Linked DNA regions of Xenopus tropicalis. The protein of the gene in region 2 interacts with the protein of the main gene of each other region in a pairwise test. Links are inferred from orthologs where the notes say so. Each region holds a gene or a part of one and is shown on either strand. Other genes may lie near its edges.

Region 1 (4,161 bases), on a different chromosome or scaffold from region 2:
GCCATCTGTATATGTTAGTCTATGTAGGTAATCTGTCGTTTTTTAAGGGAACAGTAGTGGATTTTCACACAGAGAACCTAATTTATTGAGAGGACAGGGCACACACATTGGCACAAATCACCATCTTTTTGTTCCCATAATGCAGTGTTTCTTCTCAGACTTAAGCAAAAGAACCAGAGAGACTGGGGTAAAGCGGAGAAAAATTTCATTGTGAAAATCCCTTGTGAATTGGATGGAAAATAGTGATTTTTGTGTGATATTTGCTTGAAAACACATCCATGCTCTTATTCCGATAAGAATCATGCAAACATTGCCTGTCTTGGCATTTATCATAGGGAGACATTGAGGGAAATTTCAATATGGAAGCTGATGGGAAAACTGACCAGTTGCCAGTGTCCTTAAGTCATGTGACCCCAATAATACACCACTTACATCTTTAAAGGAGTGGTACACCATTAAATTCACTTTTAGTAATAGACATGGTAGTGAAATTGTGAGACAGATTGCAGTTGGTCTTCTTTTTTATTATTTGTGTTTTTTCAATGATTCTGCATTTTATTTGGCAGATCTCCAGTTTCAGCAGCTTTCTGGTTGCTAGGGTCCAATTTAACCTAGCAACCAGGCATGGTTTAAAAGAAAGACTGGAATATGAATGGGGAGGGACAAAATATTATTTTTATTATTATTAACATTTATTTATAAAGCGCCAACATATTCCGCAGCGCTGTACAATAAGTGGGTTTCATACATTGGACATACAGAGTAACATATAAAGCAATCAATAACCGATACAAGAGGTGAAGAGGCCCCTGCCCAAAAGAGCTTACAATCTACAAGTAGAAAGAATGAGCAATAACAATGTAGCCTCACGGAGCAATAAATTCTTGTCTATGGGAGTCATTGACCCTCACAGTCAGAAGAGGAAGGCAAATAATTACAAAATGACGCAAAATAAACAATCAGGACCAATTGAAAAGGTGCTAAGAATGGACCAATCTAGAATGAATAAAACCTGTTTGAGAAAATAATTAATATAATTTGATGTAATCCTTATGCTGTTTTGTGATTACATGAGGTACAATTAAATATGCAGAATTAGAATATTCAACCTTAAAGGGTTAAAACAAAGGAAAAATACCTGGAGCCTATCCCTGTGCATTAGTATTCACATCTGGCAAATGCTTCTGGTTTCCCCCAGGCGCTCACATCTGCCCCCCTGTACAGCAAGCTTACCTGGGTAGGAGGAGCGTGGGCACATTCTTGTTCCGCTTTAATGATGTCCAGTTTCCAGCCTGAACATGCCAGCAGCAGCCACTGACACACATGTACATTCACACCTACACATAGCCATTCATTCCTACACATACACATTCATACCTACACACACACACACACTGCATCTGCTGCCACTGAGAGACTCCCCTGCTGCAGAGAAGGCAAATGAATGATCCAAAAGCCCATTTACATTCCACAGGTCGGATAAAGTGCTGCTGTGACTGCCCACTGCCTCTCGGCTCCAACCTGATTAAACTTGCATCCTAGCACTTGTATTCCGGCAGCTGCCCCACTCACAGCACTCCAGGAATTCTCTGCCACTGCCGCAAAAAAACTATGAGAAACTGATGAGGATCAGAGCTGCCTGCTGCTATTTGGATCTGTAAGTCAGAGCAGCAGCAATGTCCAAGCCATCACGTTTGGCCAGGCCCTTGCCGTCTCATGTACCCTCTAAGCCGCCTATGAATAGGAAAGAAGATTTTAGCAACCGAGGAAGGAAAAGCAGCTTAGGAGAGAAGATTCTGCGAGCAGGCAGCGAAGGGAACCTGACTAGGCAGCAAGGGCAGGCAGCCCAAATAGCCAGCAGGCAAGCCGGCTCCAGCAGCAGCACCAAAGGTACAGTCATTTCTTCTTTAGCAGCTCTCACTCTGTTTGATGTGCAGATATTGCCTTATTCTCCATCTCTTGCTGTCTGTTTGAACTCCACTGACCGGTCGTATCCTATGTATGTATGTATAACTTTATTTATAAATCCTGAACTGCAACTCCCAGCTGTAACTCCCTGTACACATTGGCAGCTGGGAGTTTGTCCAATAGAAACCTGTGTGACTGCTAATATGTCTTTGTACCAAGCAGATAGCCAAAAGTTCAATACTGTACCCCAGCAAGCGATGGCTCTGTGTCTGACAGGGAATGGGGACATCCCACAATAGCTGTGTTATCATATTGCCATGCTAGAAATTCTGATAAATACAGTAAATTCCACGTGGGACTTGTTTCTTCCAAGCAACACAATCAGGTCAGGGAGCACTGCAGGTTACGACTACTCACTCAGTGTGTTTCATTAAGCACCAGATTAAGGGCAGTGCAAATAAAGGTTAAGTAATGTTGCAATGGGATGATTTACACATCACAGATTACACTGTTCCAGGCATGGGAAACAAATTTGTGTAGCATTGATTATTCTCCAATATTAAGTATTTTGGCTGCTTTGTCACTCCATATTTCTTCCCCCTGCCATATACTTCACCCTGGGCAAGTTAGGCTTTTTATAGTGTTTAGGGGCAGTGAGTAGTTTAATAGCTGAAGGGCTACAGGATGGGTAACACTGATATAGTGTTGCTTACTATTTGCCCTACTGTTTTTTCCATCTTTCTCTGCTGCTTTAGTTCCTAATTCCATCTCTTTCTACCTACAAGTTCTGCTCTAGAGGGGCTCAAGACATGCAGAACATTAACCAGTCACCCCATTGGAACCCCTAAAAACATTTCTGCCCCTTTGCCTTTCCATATAATCAGATATGTTTGTCATTAGCTTAGACTTGACTTCAGTGCGGTACTGACCCATTTGGTTGCCATGTAGATAAAAGGCAACTCAAATTTCTATTAAATGGCAAATGGATGCCAGCAAGCTGAAAGACAGAGAACAGGGACCAAATGAATATCAGGCAACTGAGCCTGCTATATACAGCAAAGTGTACAGCAGCCCTCTGCAGTGTTTGCAAAACATTACCTTTATTTTACAGATCTTGGAGCTCCTTTAAACACTGATGTTGTGCAATAAATTGAAGGCTTGTGGATTGTGTCACGTGTGCAGAGAGAGAGCCACAGGGAATGTCCCAGTGCCCCGTGTAAGGGGAGGTCAGGGGCTGAGTATATTTCATGGCTGGGGGCAATGCATGGCAGAGGATGTAGGCAGTGCTCTTCTCATTTCATTAGATCATTTCACTTTTTAATTAGGTCCATTCCTCCTGCGTGTCCTTAGGGCCCGTACGAGTACCGAGGGTTTTTTTAATTCTATTTCCTATGTTGGAAACATGTAAAGTGGGAATTAGCTGCCGCCGATTATTCAGCACAAATATCAGTTCCCTAGATCGCTCTCTGTGAAATTGAATTAGCTTTTTGAATTTAGCTTTTGAATTAGCTTTTCACTTTTATTGTGACACAAGACTGGGCAGCAATAGTCTTAAACTGCCCATACACACACCGATAGTATTGCACGATCAATGAGCTTTTGCAACATCGGTAATCTCGTCGATCGGGACTAAAGATTTTGATCGGGTGCCATTGAAGGCGCCGGAGCAAAATCTGCATTTAGGGTGGAATTGTCAGGTGGAGATTGAATTCCTATTGTTTCTACCTCCATATCTGATGATTCAGCCCTGAACCTCTATGGAGGGAACGAACGACCTGTGGTTGCAGGAAAGATCATTATGGGTATGTTTATGGCCATATTAAAACAAACCCCTGCCTGGTTTTCAACATTTTGAAAACCGGGCAGAAGCCCTCCAAATTGCGTCTAGCAGACACAATAACCCCACCCCGACGTCATCACACAACCAGAAAAGGTCCCACCAGTGCACATTTTACCTTCTCCTTATATCTGTGGTTGGGGGTGGGGGTCTACTCGCAGTTTCCAGCAGGGACTGGGCCTGGGTAGGCAGCCCCCCCCCCCAAGATTTTCCTGGTGTCCTGCTAGTCTGATCCTGATTCTGCCTGGGGTTTAGGGTTTTGTTCCCCTTTAAAGTGAACACTATGTCTGTAAACATTTATCATGGGTGCAGGATAGTTTTGTGTGAATAGAGAAAAGCTTGCTGTATCCTCCCTAATGCTCTCGTAAATCATGGCCCATTATATTCAGGCAGGAGAACAGATAATAAACACCTTC
Region 2 (3,145 bases):
GTGAAATTTGATTGGCTGTTGGTGGCTCCGCCCACTTTTCAAAACTTAAACTGCAGTCCCCTAGTGACCAAGTGTAAAAAGTTTGGGGACCCCGACGTTATTACTGTGAGACTGGCAGCAGGTTGGATTTTTGCCAAATCAATAGGTAAAATTTGATTGGCGGTTCACAGCTCCGCCCACTTTTGGGCATCCAATAATCATCCTATTTTCATTCAGGCTGAGCCCATGACTGTGTGATTCAAGTTTGGGGAGTGTAGCCTCAAAGCTGTAAGATTGGCAGCAGTTTCAATTTCCCCATTAAAGTCAATGATTAAAATTTGATTGGCTGTTGTTGGCCCCTCCCACTTTGGGGTCATCCAACAAATGTTGCTGCTTCATTCTGGGTGACCCCATGATTATGTTATTCAAGTTTGGGAGGTGTAGCTTCAAAGCTGTAAGAGTGGCAGCAGTTTGAAAATCTTCCCTGTCAAAGTCAATGGGAAAATTGGGGGGTTCGGAGCGGCGCCACAAAAAGACGGGGGGTGCAATCACTTAGAAAAGCACAAGCAACCTGCTCCGCTATAGGGCGAAGATGTGTGGGGAGTTTGGGTGCTGTACCCCTAAAACTGTAGGAGGAGTAGTGTTTAGAAAATGGGGGGCGCTAAGAAGAAGAAGCGGAAGAATAAGCTAAAGTCGAAAAACAGTATGTTGGGGTTTTCAACCCAACATAATTATTTGTTATGTAAACAGTGTAATTTAGAAATAAAAAGTACACAAAAATCACAGCAGAATCCATTTAAGAAGTTTCAACAGACCAACATTACTTCATTCCTACCCTCCACTACAATGGCTAGAGCTGGAAGAAGAAAGCTATGAAGACCAAGCTAAAATGGCAGCTGCAATCTTAAACAGAGAAAGCTTTTAGGGCTCTTTACTCAGGTATGGTAATGCTTTCTGCAGAATATATAGAGTGTTCTAGGTGGCACTAATGTGGTGGATCTATTGGCAGTAAAATGACGTTCCTTCTCCTTTTAAACAGTAATTTTTGGTTCAAGAATAAAATTTCAATTGGTAGAGTGAATTATTTGTACAGTGTAATTTAGAAATAAAAATTATGCCATAAAAATCATGACAGTATCCCTTTAATGTTACTATTCTCCTGACCTGAAATAATGCCATGTCAATCAGTGTTTTTCACAGACAACATGCAGGCAAGTTAATTCTGATGTGTAATAATTCTAATGACTGATGTGTAATGTCTATAGTGCTGTCCAGTGTCAGTACAGGTATTGGACCCCCTTATCCGGAAACCTATTATCCAGAAAGTTCTGAATTACGGGAAGGCCATCTCCCATAGACTTATTTTAATCAAATAATTCACATTTTTAAAAAATATTTCCTTTTTCTCTGTAATAATAAAACAGTACCTTGTAAGATATAATTAAGCCTTATGGGAGGAAAAACAATCCTATTGGGTTTAATTAATGTTTAAATAATTTTTTTGAAAAATAATATGGTGGGTAAAGGCGAGACTGAGAATAGTTAGCAAAGTTCTGTTTAGGCAGAGAGTAGAGTCCATATTAGGCCATTGTAATGAGGTTAGGCTGTTTCTAGATTTCTACACTAGGAAGGAGTCTGCCTTGTTACCACACCATCACCAATCGTAAGCCCTCCTGGCATATTTATTTATTTAGTAATCTAAGTAGCAGTTGGGAAGAAATAGTTCCCTCCCTTGGGGCATTTTAGGCATTAGGGATATAGGTCCTAGTTTTGTATAAAGGGGTTTAGATTGTCACCTCCATCATTGGCCCATCATGGCACATTTGGGCAGAAAAAAGATAAACATTTGGGATTGCTAGCCTATTGAATTATAAACTTGCTTTTTTTGTCACCCACCAATAGTAACAGAAACCCCACCTCCACCACCCCCTGCAGAAGAGCCTGTCTTTGACGAATCACCTCCTCCTCCTCCCCCTCCAGAAGACTATGAAGAAGAAGAAGCTGCTGTAGTAGAATACAGTGATCCATATGCTGAAGAAGACCCTCCTTGGGCTCCAAGGACTTATTTAGAGAAAGGTTTGTAAAGCAATGTTGTCGTAATAGGTAGATTATACATCGCTAAATGACATTCTGACCAATTATTAGCAACATATCCGTAAGAGCATTTCCAGATAGTGAAAAGAAGAGAAAAGTCATACATACATCCCCGACTCTCATTCACAATATACTATCTTATACTTTTTTTTTTTTTTAATAGTTGTTGCAATCTACGACTACTCAAAAGACAAAGAGGATGAGCTATCCTTTCAGGAAGGAGCCATTATATACGTCATTAAGAAGAATGATGATGGGTGGTACGAGGGTGTCATGAATGGAGTGACAGGGCTTTTTCCAGGCAACTATGTGGAATCTATCATGCACTATTCTGAATGATGGCGACACATGGCCAAATAAAACTTTCCAACTGTTGTGACTTCCCACATTTACATGGGCCCTTTGTGGGCCAAACAAGTGAATGAATGAAGAGCAAGATCTTTGTGATCAAACCACTTTTTCTTTTGTTTTATGATTACCAATTAGTGGTGCAAGTTATTTGAACAAAGTGTTCTTTCATCGCAGCAGCTCTGGTTTATTGAAAAAAAAATTTTGTTGAGAAAAAAAAAAAATCCTGGCATTGCTTACCCCTTGTTTTGTCTTTTCTACCCCCCCCCCCCCCCCCAAAAGTCCCAGTCCCAGGACTGCGGGATGTAATTACGGGTAATGTAACCCTGTTATTTCCAAGTATTTGATATGCGTTTCTTGCTGTACCGTGTATGCAGCTGAAGTAGTTATTTCCAGATCTTGAGTCTTTTATGCGATCACACTTGATGAGGAATACGAAATTGATCTTCTTTTAATAATGTGAGGAACATAAGGCAGATTTTTCAGTACAAATGTATTTCCAGCATAAGCACAATAAAGTGTAATAAGTGCATTACCCACCAAAGAGTATAGAATCTACACATCCTATCGCAGCCAGTGGTGCACTAATCATTTCTGTGTGTCGGTGGCACATAATGTTGATAAATTTCTCCCTGCTTCCCTTAAATTGTGGGGAATCTGATGTTGCTGCTGTGATTCTTTCCACACAAAATGGATTCGGACGAGTGTGGCGTGTTTAGCAATG
Region 3 (4,289 bases), on a different chromosome or scaffold from region 2:
CCACTCTCCAAATTAATTTTCCTCCTTTCCTCACTAAAACCACTTTATTCTCCTAGTCTGTTTTATTTACATGCTAGCATCTATTCTTCCATCTATTTCTTCTCTTTGTTCCCATTCAGAAATAGGGAATGACCATGAATAGGCCAAATGGTGAGGAGCAGGAGGGCCCACTGACCCCTGGGCCCACCGGGAGTTTTCCTGGTATCCTGGTGGGCCAGTCCGACTCTGTTTGTGTGCACTGTGAATCCCAGGGGGATAAAAGTGAGTTATAAAATACCCTATATTTAGCATCTGTGCCACTGGTCTTTTTTTTTACTTATTTTTAAATTATTTGCTGCCTTTTTCTGCCTCTCTATGCTTTCAGGCAGTCAGCCAGCCAAAAAACTATTGCTCTGAGAGGCTATTGTTATTCAGTACCATATCTCACGTGGTTGCTAGTTTAAATATGACCCTAGCAACCAGATAGTTGCAGAAATACCAAACTAGAGACGTGTTAACATCCCAATTCCTTATGCACATGATTTATAGCCATTTTACCCCTATATACATGTGTGGCGATATAAAGAGTAGAAGGCCATTGCATATTTATATTTGGGCTGCTTTTTACCCCCAGTCTGGCCCTGCAGCTTGGTGTTTCCATTTAACGTTCAATTTTCAGTGCGGCTTGGGCAGCATGCCACCCTAAGGGCTCTGGCACACGGGGAGATTAGTCGCCCGCGGCAAAACTCCCTGTTCGTGGGCAACTAATCTCCCCGAGTTGCCTTCCCCTGCCATCCCACCGGCGAACATGTAAGTCGCGGGTGGGATGGCACACGCGGCGGCGCGATTTCACGCAAATCGCCGAAGTTGCCTTGCGAGGCTTTTTCAGCGATTTGCGCTAAATCGCGCTGCCGCGTGTGCCATCCCACCGGCCACTTACATTTTCGCCAGTGGGATGGCAGGGGAAGGCAACTCGGGGAGATTAGTTGCCCACGAACAGGGAGTTTTGTCGCGGGTGACTAATCTCCCCGTGTGCCAGAGCCCTTAATCTGTTCCGCCCCGGGCCTGGGCCTTTGTTGCCTGGGTGTCACGTGTTTTCTATTGAAACGAGTGTCTGGAGGGGCGGGGTCAGACGGTATTGCGCCAATACGGCCCGTGGGCCATAGTTGTAAGAATTGTGTGAGCAGCAGATAAGTACCACAGTCTTCATTTTTTTATCCTCTGAGGTTTTTGCCACTTTAGCACTTCTACACTTTCCAATTTCCTGCTACCAAGTTGCCAACCTGAAGAGTGAGTAGGAGAGGGTCTGAAGAGAAAAATACATCATAAATATATAAATCTCAATACAAAAGTATACTCATAGCATGACATTTTGTTTATTTCTATTGTTCCCACCCTCACACTTACCCGGGTAATTCTGCCCCTAACGCTACAGTTCCGCCTCAGCGCTTTGCGCCTCCCTCACGCTTCCCGCCCGGAAGTAGGACGAGAACTGGCACCCGACTTGAGGCTTCTGCCAGTACGGTGACATCACTTCCGCCCACCCGGAAGCGCAGGTACTGCGGGCTGATAGAGAGCGGGGATGGGTGACGGGGAGTCGGAGCGGTTTCAGTACCTGCAGACGTTGGTCACTGAGTTCCAGGACACGGACAGTGTCGGTAAGGGAGAGAGAGGGGGAGATTTAACCCCATTCAGTTTCGTTACGGTTGTAGTTTTGTACCAACTCTCCGCATCATTTCCTCTTCTCATTAGTTTCTCCCCTTAATTGCTCAGAAGCCAAAGAGCAGGTCCTGGCCAATCTGGCCAACTTCGCCTACGATCCCCGGAACTTTTCCGACCTGCGGAAGCTACAGGTGCTGGACCTGTTCCTGGATATGCTGACTGAGGGCAATGAGAACCTGGTGGAGTTTGGCCTGGGTGAGAGAATGTACTGAAGTGCTGAGCCCACAATGTGCCCCCATGTGTGGCAGGAGGGTCACAATATAATGCAATATAATCTCAGCTCCCACCAGCATCCTCCCCCCAGCATCCTCCCACCAGCATCCTCCAGCTCCCCCCAGCATCCTCCTCAGCATCCTCCCACCAGCTCCCCCCAGCATCCTATCCCAGCATCCTCCCACCAGCTCCCCCCCAGCATCCTTCAACTCCCCCCAGCATCTTCCTCAACATCCTCCCACCAGCATCCTCCAGCTCCCCCCAGCGTCCTTGCCAGCATCCTCCAAGCTCAGGGGACACATTGACTTGATGGAGGCCCTGAGTGTAACGCTGGCCCGAAATCACAGGCCTCTCAGCTCCCCCCAGCATCTTCCCACCAGCATCCTCCAGCTCCCCCCAGCATCCTATCCCAGCATCCTCCTCAGCATCCTCCCACCAGCTCCCCTCCAGCATCCTTCCCAGCATCCTCCAGCTCCCCCAGCGTCCTTCCCAGCATCCTGCTCAACATCCTCCCACCAGCTCCCCCCCAGCATCCTTCAGCTCCCCTCAGCATCCTTCAACTCCCCCCAGCATCTTCCTCAACATCCTCCCACCAGCATCCTCCAGCTCCCCCCAGTGTCCTTCCCAGCATCCTCCTCAACATCCTCCCACCAGCTCCCCCCCAGCATTCTTCAACTCCCACCAGCATCTTCCTCAACATCCTCCCACCAGCATCCTCCAGCTCCCCCCAGCGTCCCTACCCAGCATCCTCCCACCAGCTCCCCCCAAGCATCCTCCCACCAGCCCCCCTCCAGCATCCTCCCACCAGCTCCCCCCCAGCATCCTTCTCAGCATCCTCCTAAACATCCTCCCCCCCCCCCCAGCGACCTACAGCGACCAATCAGGAGTCAGCGGACCGGATTAAAAAGGCCAATGGGCCAGACATGGCTTGCAGGCCGTAGTTTGCCCACCCCTGATATAATGACTCCGCCCCAATCTCCAGTTGATGGACAGTATAGTGAAAGTGGCTATAGGTGGGCAGTGGGTAGATGCTTAAATTTTCTGCTTGATGACAGTGGGACGGACCATTGAAAAAAAGCCAGTGTCAGACTGGGGGCCCCTCACTGAGGGTGGAGGGCCGATGTTGCTGGCAGGGATCAGGCCTGGGTTGGTGGGGCCCACTGGGATTTTTCTCATTGTCCCAGTCTGTCCCTGGGAAAAGCCCAATATGCAACCTGGCACTGGAGGGGGGGGTGGCAGAATCAGTAGGTTTTATCAGCCCATCTATGGCCACCGTGTACCACCCCCCCCAACCCCTCGCCTGTCATTGGTCTCTGACAAACACGGCTCTGGTATATTTATCGTTTTCACTACAAACTTCTGTGCGATCCTTTTATACCCAGATAAACATCCTGTGTTGCGAATATAAACATTGGGTGCAGTGAAAGCCCAGTTATCTTGTATTAACCACTTCCAGCAGGACGGAAGGATATTGTAGGTTTGGGCAATATGTTTTTTTCCATCTTTCCTATGGGATCCCCCCCCCCCCTAAAAAACATGTCCTCAATTTCAATTGTGATCAAACCCCCTGTAGGTCATAATGTCTTTGAAATTGTTAGTTTGCCTTTAACCATTCTCTCTTTTCCAATAGGGGGTCTCTGTAATCTCTGCCTGGACAAGACTAACAAGAGTCACATACTAGACTCCGGGGGGCTGAAATTGGTCATCAATTGCCTGTCCAGCCGTCGGGAAGAGACGGTGCTTTCGGCGCTGACCACACTCATGTTCCTGTGCACGGCCGCCTCCCGCACTGAAGTGACGGCTCCTGCTGTGGTGGAGTGCATGGTGCGCTTCTCCCTTTCCACCAACCGCAGGATCAGCAATTTGGCCACCATCTTCCTGCAGGATTACTGCAGCGATAAGCAAGTGCAAGAAGCCAAAGAACTGAGCCAACATTCGGCATTGGGAATCCCGCTCCCTGAATCCACGCAGCACCCCATCTGACTCCCGTGTCGGACATTTGCACCCTACTAGAAACAGATGCAGCATGGCTGTTCTCGGAGTGTGACAAACTCTGTGTTTGAAGTGCTGGTCACTTTCATGATCATGAAACAAGTTTGGGAGACAAGTGCAAGCCTTGCCGGACTGCAGTCCCCTGCAAGATACTGTTCCGTGATTCAGTTATGGACTGACCCCATGGTCCCTCGTGTATTTATTTCTACTGTATTAAAATCATTAAAGAGGAAAAGCACTCGGTGCTGCTATCTACACTGCTATCCACTCTTCGTGAGTGGCCAATGGTTGGCGAGATTGTACAGTTGTGTTTCTTAGCTCTCCCCAGCAAAGCTTCATGGGTTATTCAGGGTCCATGAAAGGGGTGGGGGAACCTTATGGTA
Region 4 (4,093 bases), about 22 Mb from region 2:
TTTCTTACTCATGGGCCACAGTCAAATGTAAAAAGACTTAGAGCAACAGAAGCACCATAAAAGTTCATGGAGGAGCCAAATAAGGGCTGTGATTGGCTATTAGGCAGCCTCTATGCACCAGCTTACAGGGGCTTTATTTGGGAGTAAATCTTATTTTTATTCAACCAAAACTTGCCCCCAAGTCAGGAATTTAAATAACTCCCTGGTTTGGGGGCACTGAGAGCAACATCCAAGGGGTTGGGGAGAAACATGTTGCCCCTGAGCCACTGGTTGGGGATCACTGGTCTAAACGATCAAATAAAAACAGTGGGTATATCGGCTGTCGGATCAAGGAAACGCATCAACGAGCCAATGCTGTCCCAGATCTGATGGGAAAATAAAGCCTGCCCGATCTTGATCTAGTCCAGATATCGGTCAGGTAGGCCCATCGGTGATGCCCATAACTGGGCAGATAAGCTGCCAAATCAGTGTGAAGGACCCAAATCGGCAGCTGACAATTAAATGGATGGTCACAATTGTTCAGCTGGCCTTCAGTAAGCCTGTGTCTTTGTATCAGTTATGTACAGGATTTGCAACTGCATCAGTGGGGGTGGGGTAATTCTAAAGGGCCCCCAAGAGAACAAATGATGTGATCTTAAACCATAGAACAAAAAAATCCATAACCTGAGGACTCAATACAAAAATGAAAGGTACATCACATAATTGTACTATTTCTGAAATAATCAAGTTAATCTTTCTATTTCCTTTTTACATCTGACTTTATACATGCAGCTTTGTGTCCCCTCTGGAAAGGGCCCTACTGTCACCTGAATTCTGACTCCAGCTTGTGCATACAGATTGCTGAGATAGTTGCCCTTGCAGTCTTTGGTATGAGGGGTAAAAAAACATCCTTGACATGCCCTTTACCTGCAGATGCCATGATTTCCTTATCATAACCTGGTCTGTCAACAAAAAGCAGCCTAAGCCACTGCAGCATTCTGATTGGTTTGTCCTTACACTGGAATGTATTATATACAAAGCACATAGACAGCCAGTGCGCTACATATAGCCCTCACAATGACAAAAGCTGGTACAGGTATGGGACCTATTATCCAGAATGCTCGGGACCAAGGGTATTCTGGATAAGGGGTCTTTACGTAATTTGGATCTACATACCTTAAGTCTGATAAAAAAAAAAAAAACAATAAAACATTAATTAAACCCAATAGGATTATTCTGCCCGAATAAGGAGTAATTATATCTTAGTTGGGATCAAGTACAGGTACTGTTTTATTATTACAGAGAAAAGGGAATCATTTAACCATTAAATAAACCCAATAGGGCTGTTCTGCCCCTTATATCTTAGTTGGGATCAAGTAAAGGTACTGTTTTATTATTAGAGAGAAAAGGGAATCATTTAACCATTAAATAAACCCAATAGGGCTGTTCTGTCCCCAATTAGGGGTAATTATATCTTAGTTGGGATCAAGTACAGGTACTGTTTTATTATTACAGAGAAAAGGGAATCATTTAACCATGAAATAAACCCAATAGGGCTGTTCTGCCCCCAATAAGGGGTAATTATATCTTAGTTGGGATCAAGTACAGGTACTGTTTTATTATTACAGAGAAAAGGGAATCATTTAACCATTAAATAAACCCAATAGGGCTGTTCTGCCCCCAATAAGGGGTAATTATATCTTAGTTGGGATCAAGTACAGGTACTGTTTTATTATTACAGAGAAAAGGGAATCATTTAACCATTAAATAAACCCAATAGGACTGTTCTTCCCCCAATAAGGGGTAATTATATCTTAGTTGGGATAAAATACAAGGCACTGTTTTATTATTACAGAGAAAAGAAAAATGCATTTTAAGAATCTGAATTGTTTCATTAAAATGGAGTCTATGGGAGACAGGCATTCTGTAATTCGGAGATTTCTGAATAACAGATCCCATAGCTGTAATAGATGTAAATGATATACCAGCCTGGCCATCTCATCCCTTTATCTAGAGGAAACATATGAAGCAGTATGGCAGGAGCGTACTGACACTATTGGGGATGGGATAGGCTGGTTAGCTTTGGTTAGAGAGTGGCAGGATGATTAATTAAAGTACAAATGTGATTGGTTGGCATGGGTTACTGGGCAAGTACAAATGTTACTCTTCCCCTCCTGTATCGGTTATTGATTGCTTTATATGTTACTCTGTATGTCCAATGTATGAAACCCACTTATTGTACAGCGCTGCGGAATATGTTGGCGCTTTATAAATAAATGTTAATAATAATAATAATAAATGAGCCCATGTGGGATACCAGAGCTAAAGGCCATTGCTGGCTTCTGGATAATAAAGTAGGCATGACGTGACAGCTTTTCTCCCCAAGAGGTTCCTCAGCAGCCGCGGGTTTTACTACATGGACCAATAATACTGAAATCCTTTCTGTTACTGAACTATAACTCTCCAACAGCCGCAGGCATATAGGGGTCGCTGAGGGTTGTAGTTATACAGGAGCTGCATATTCCCCGTATGGATGCCCGTGTTCCAGGGATAGCACTTACCCACATCCTGATCAAAGGGATTAGAGCCGAAGAGCGGCATGCTGGGGCGATAGGAAGGCGAGAGGTCCGTGTACAGTGCTGGGGCCCCGCTGCTAGCCTGGCTCTTCCTACTCCGGCTTCCTCTCTCCCCAGTCACAACATCCAAGCACAGAGGCTTCCGGGTCTGCCCGCTCACCGCCTGACTCAAAAACAAGTGCCGCCGCGCTTGGGGAATTATTCTATATTCATACGCTGAACTCTTTTACAAAAGGAACCTTTACACGTCAGCATATAAAGGCTAAACATCTGTCTAGGTGCGAGTTCAGCGTTGCGTATTTTACAGGCAGCTGCATGGTTGCCTAAATCGTGGGTCCTTTGTAGTTTTTTAGGGTCCTCCGCGGAAGGAAGGGCAGGTAACGCCTGCGAATTGGCATAGTCATGTGACTAACGTCACCTGAAAGTCTGAGGAAAGGAATGTACCAACAGCAGTGATGTCATAGGGGATTGGGAAAGGCAGGGTCAGCTGATCAATGGAGGAACAACAGACAGATTATTAATATATAGATATATAGATATAATATATAGATATATATATATATAGATATATATATAGATATATATAGATATATAATATAGATATATAATATATATATATATATATATATATATATATTATATATCTATAGTAGGTATATAGGGCAGTCATTAGAGGGGTGCTGCATTGGGGTATTTAAGGCCAATCTATATTTCTGTTTGGTAAGGAATCACCAGCACCAGTGTTATAGGGTTGCCGCCTTTGAAATCTGTGATAGACAGACGAGAGGGCAGGGTGATATTAGGGGCAGAAATTTGAGGGTGGGGTCATGACATTTTTGGGGGAGGGGCCTGGACATTATTGCTGGTTATTGGCCGGATTATTGTTTGGGTTTCACAAGACTGTAACATTAACCGTTGTGACCCGAAAACGTACCTCCCAGTATTTTGAAAATGGAAAGAGGCACAAAATTAAATGCGGCATGGTGAATTGTTTTTGACCACGCCCATTTTTGCAACCACACCCCCTAAATACCGCTCCCATTTGACTAAATTGGCAGGTTTTATAAAGTTTGAAAACATTTCTGGGGGTTTGGGGTCTTGTTTTATGTGTTGTTACAGTTTTGTTAAAAAAAGGTGAAATTGCCCTTTAAGCTGCAAGTCTCAGTCCCCCCAAGAGACCTGTTTAGATTATTAGTTACAATTGTATCTCAGTGCAGGGGGGGCTTTTTACCTTTCTGGGCTCTCTGCCAAAAGCTACTTATTTAATTAAATGTGTGAAACAATGTTTCTAAGTGCAGGAGAAGCTTGTTAAGTTTTCTGGGCTCTGCCAAAAGCTACTTATTTAATTTAATGTGAGAAACAATGTATCTAAATGCAGCTGAAGCTTGTTAACTTTCTGGGCTCTCTGCCAAAAGCTACTTTTTAATTAAATTTGTATCTTTTTTAGCATTCAGTACAGGAGATCAAAGGGAAATGAGGGACTTTTTAGTAAGAATCCTGGACTGCGGGTTGAGCTGTCAGAAGAGGGACTGTTCCAC

The links. The genes of interacting proteins can lie anywhere in the genome.
Region 1: the proteins of abi2 (region 2) and kiaa1217 interact in binary tests that used the Homo sapiens proteins (3 or more experiments, as listed by UniProt). The link is inferred for Xenopus tropicalis from reciprocal best matches to the Homo sapiens genes ABI2 and KIAA1217.
Region 3: the proteins of abi2 (region 2) and armc7 interact in binary tests that used the Homo sapiens proteins (3 or more experiments, as listed by UniProt). The link is inferred for Xenopus tropicalis from reciprocal best matches to the Homo sapiens genes ABI2 and ARMC7.
Region 4: the proteins of abi2 (region 2) and stam2 interact in binary tests that used the Homo sapiens proteins (3 or more experiments, as listed by UniProt). The link is inferred for Xenopus tropicalis from reciprocal best matches to the Homo sapiens genes ABI2 and STAM2.

Annotation. Positions count from the first base shown.
Region 1 is NC_030682.2:26,191,618-26,195,778, reverse strand, and holds the start of kiaa1217 (sickle tail protein homolog), read left to right. Parts: upstream 1-1,361; 5' UTR 1,362-1,676; coding exon 1,677-1,890; intron 1,891-4,161. UniProt on the Homo sapiens protein: Required for normal development of intervertebral disks.
Region 2 is NC_030685.2:54,233,985-54,237,129, forward strand, and holds the end of abi2 (abl interactor 2), read left to right. Parts: intron 1-1,881; coding exon 1,882-2,055; intron 2,056-2,236; coding exon 2,237-2,412; 3' UTR 2,413-2,645; downstream 2,646-3,145. UniProt on the Homo sapiens protein: Regulator of actin cytoskeleton dynamics underlying cell motility and adhesion. Functions as a component of the WAVE complex, which activates actin nucleating machinery Arp2/3 to drive lamellipodia formation.
Region 3 is NC_030686.2:44,366,072-44,370,360, forward strand, and holds the start of armc7 (armadillo repeat-containing protein 7), read left to right. Parts: upstream 1-1,489; 5' UTR 1,490-1,561; coding exon 1,562-1,637; intron 1,638-1,641; exon of another isoform or gene 1,642-1,731; coding exon 1,732-1,896; intron 1,897-3,544; coding exon 3,545-3,897; 3' UTR 3,898-4,289. UniProt on the Homo sapiens protein: As a component of the minor spliceosome, involved in the splicing of U12-type introns in pre-mRNAs.
Region 4 is NC_030685.2:75,874,824-75,878,916, reverse strand, and holds the start of stam2 (signal transducing adapter molecule 2), read right to left. Parts: upstream 2,801-4,093; 5' UTR 2,581-2,800; coding exon 2,541-2,580; intron 1-2,540.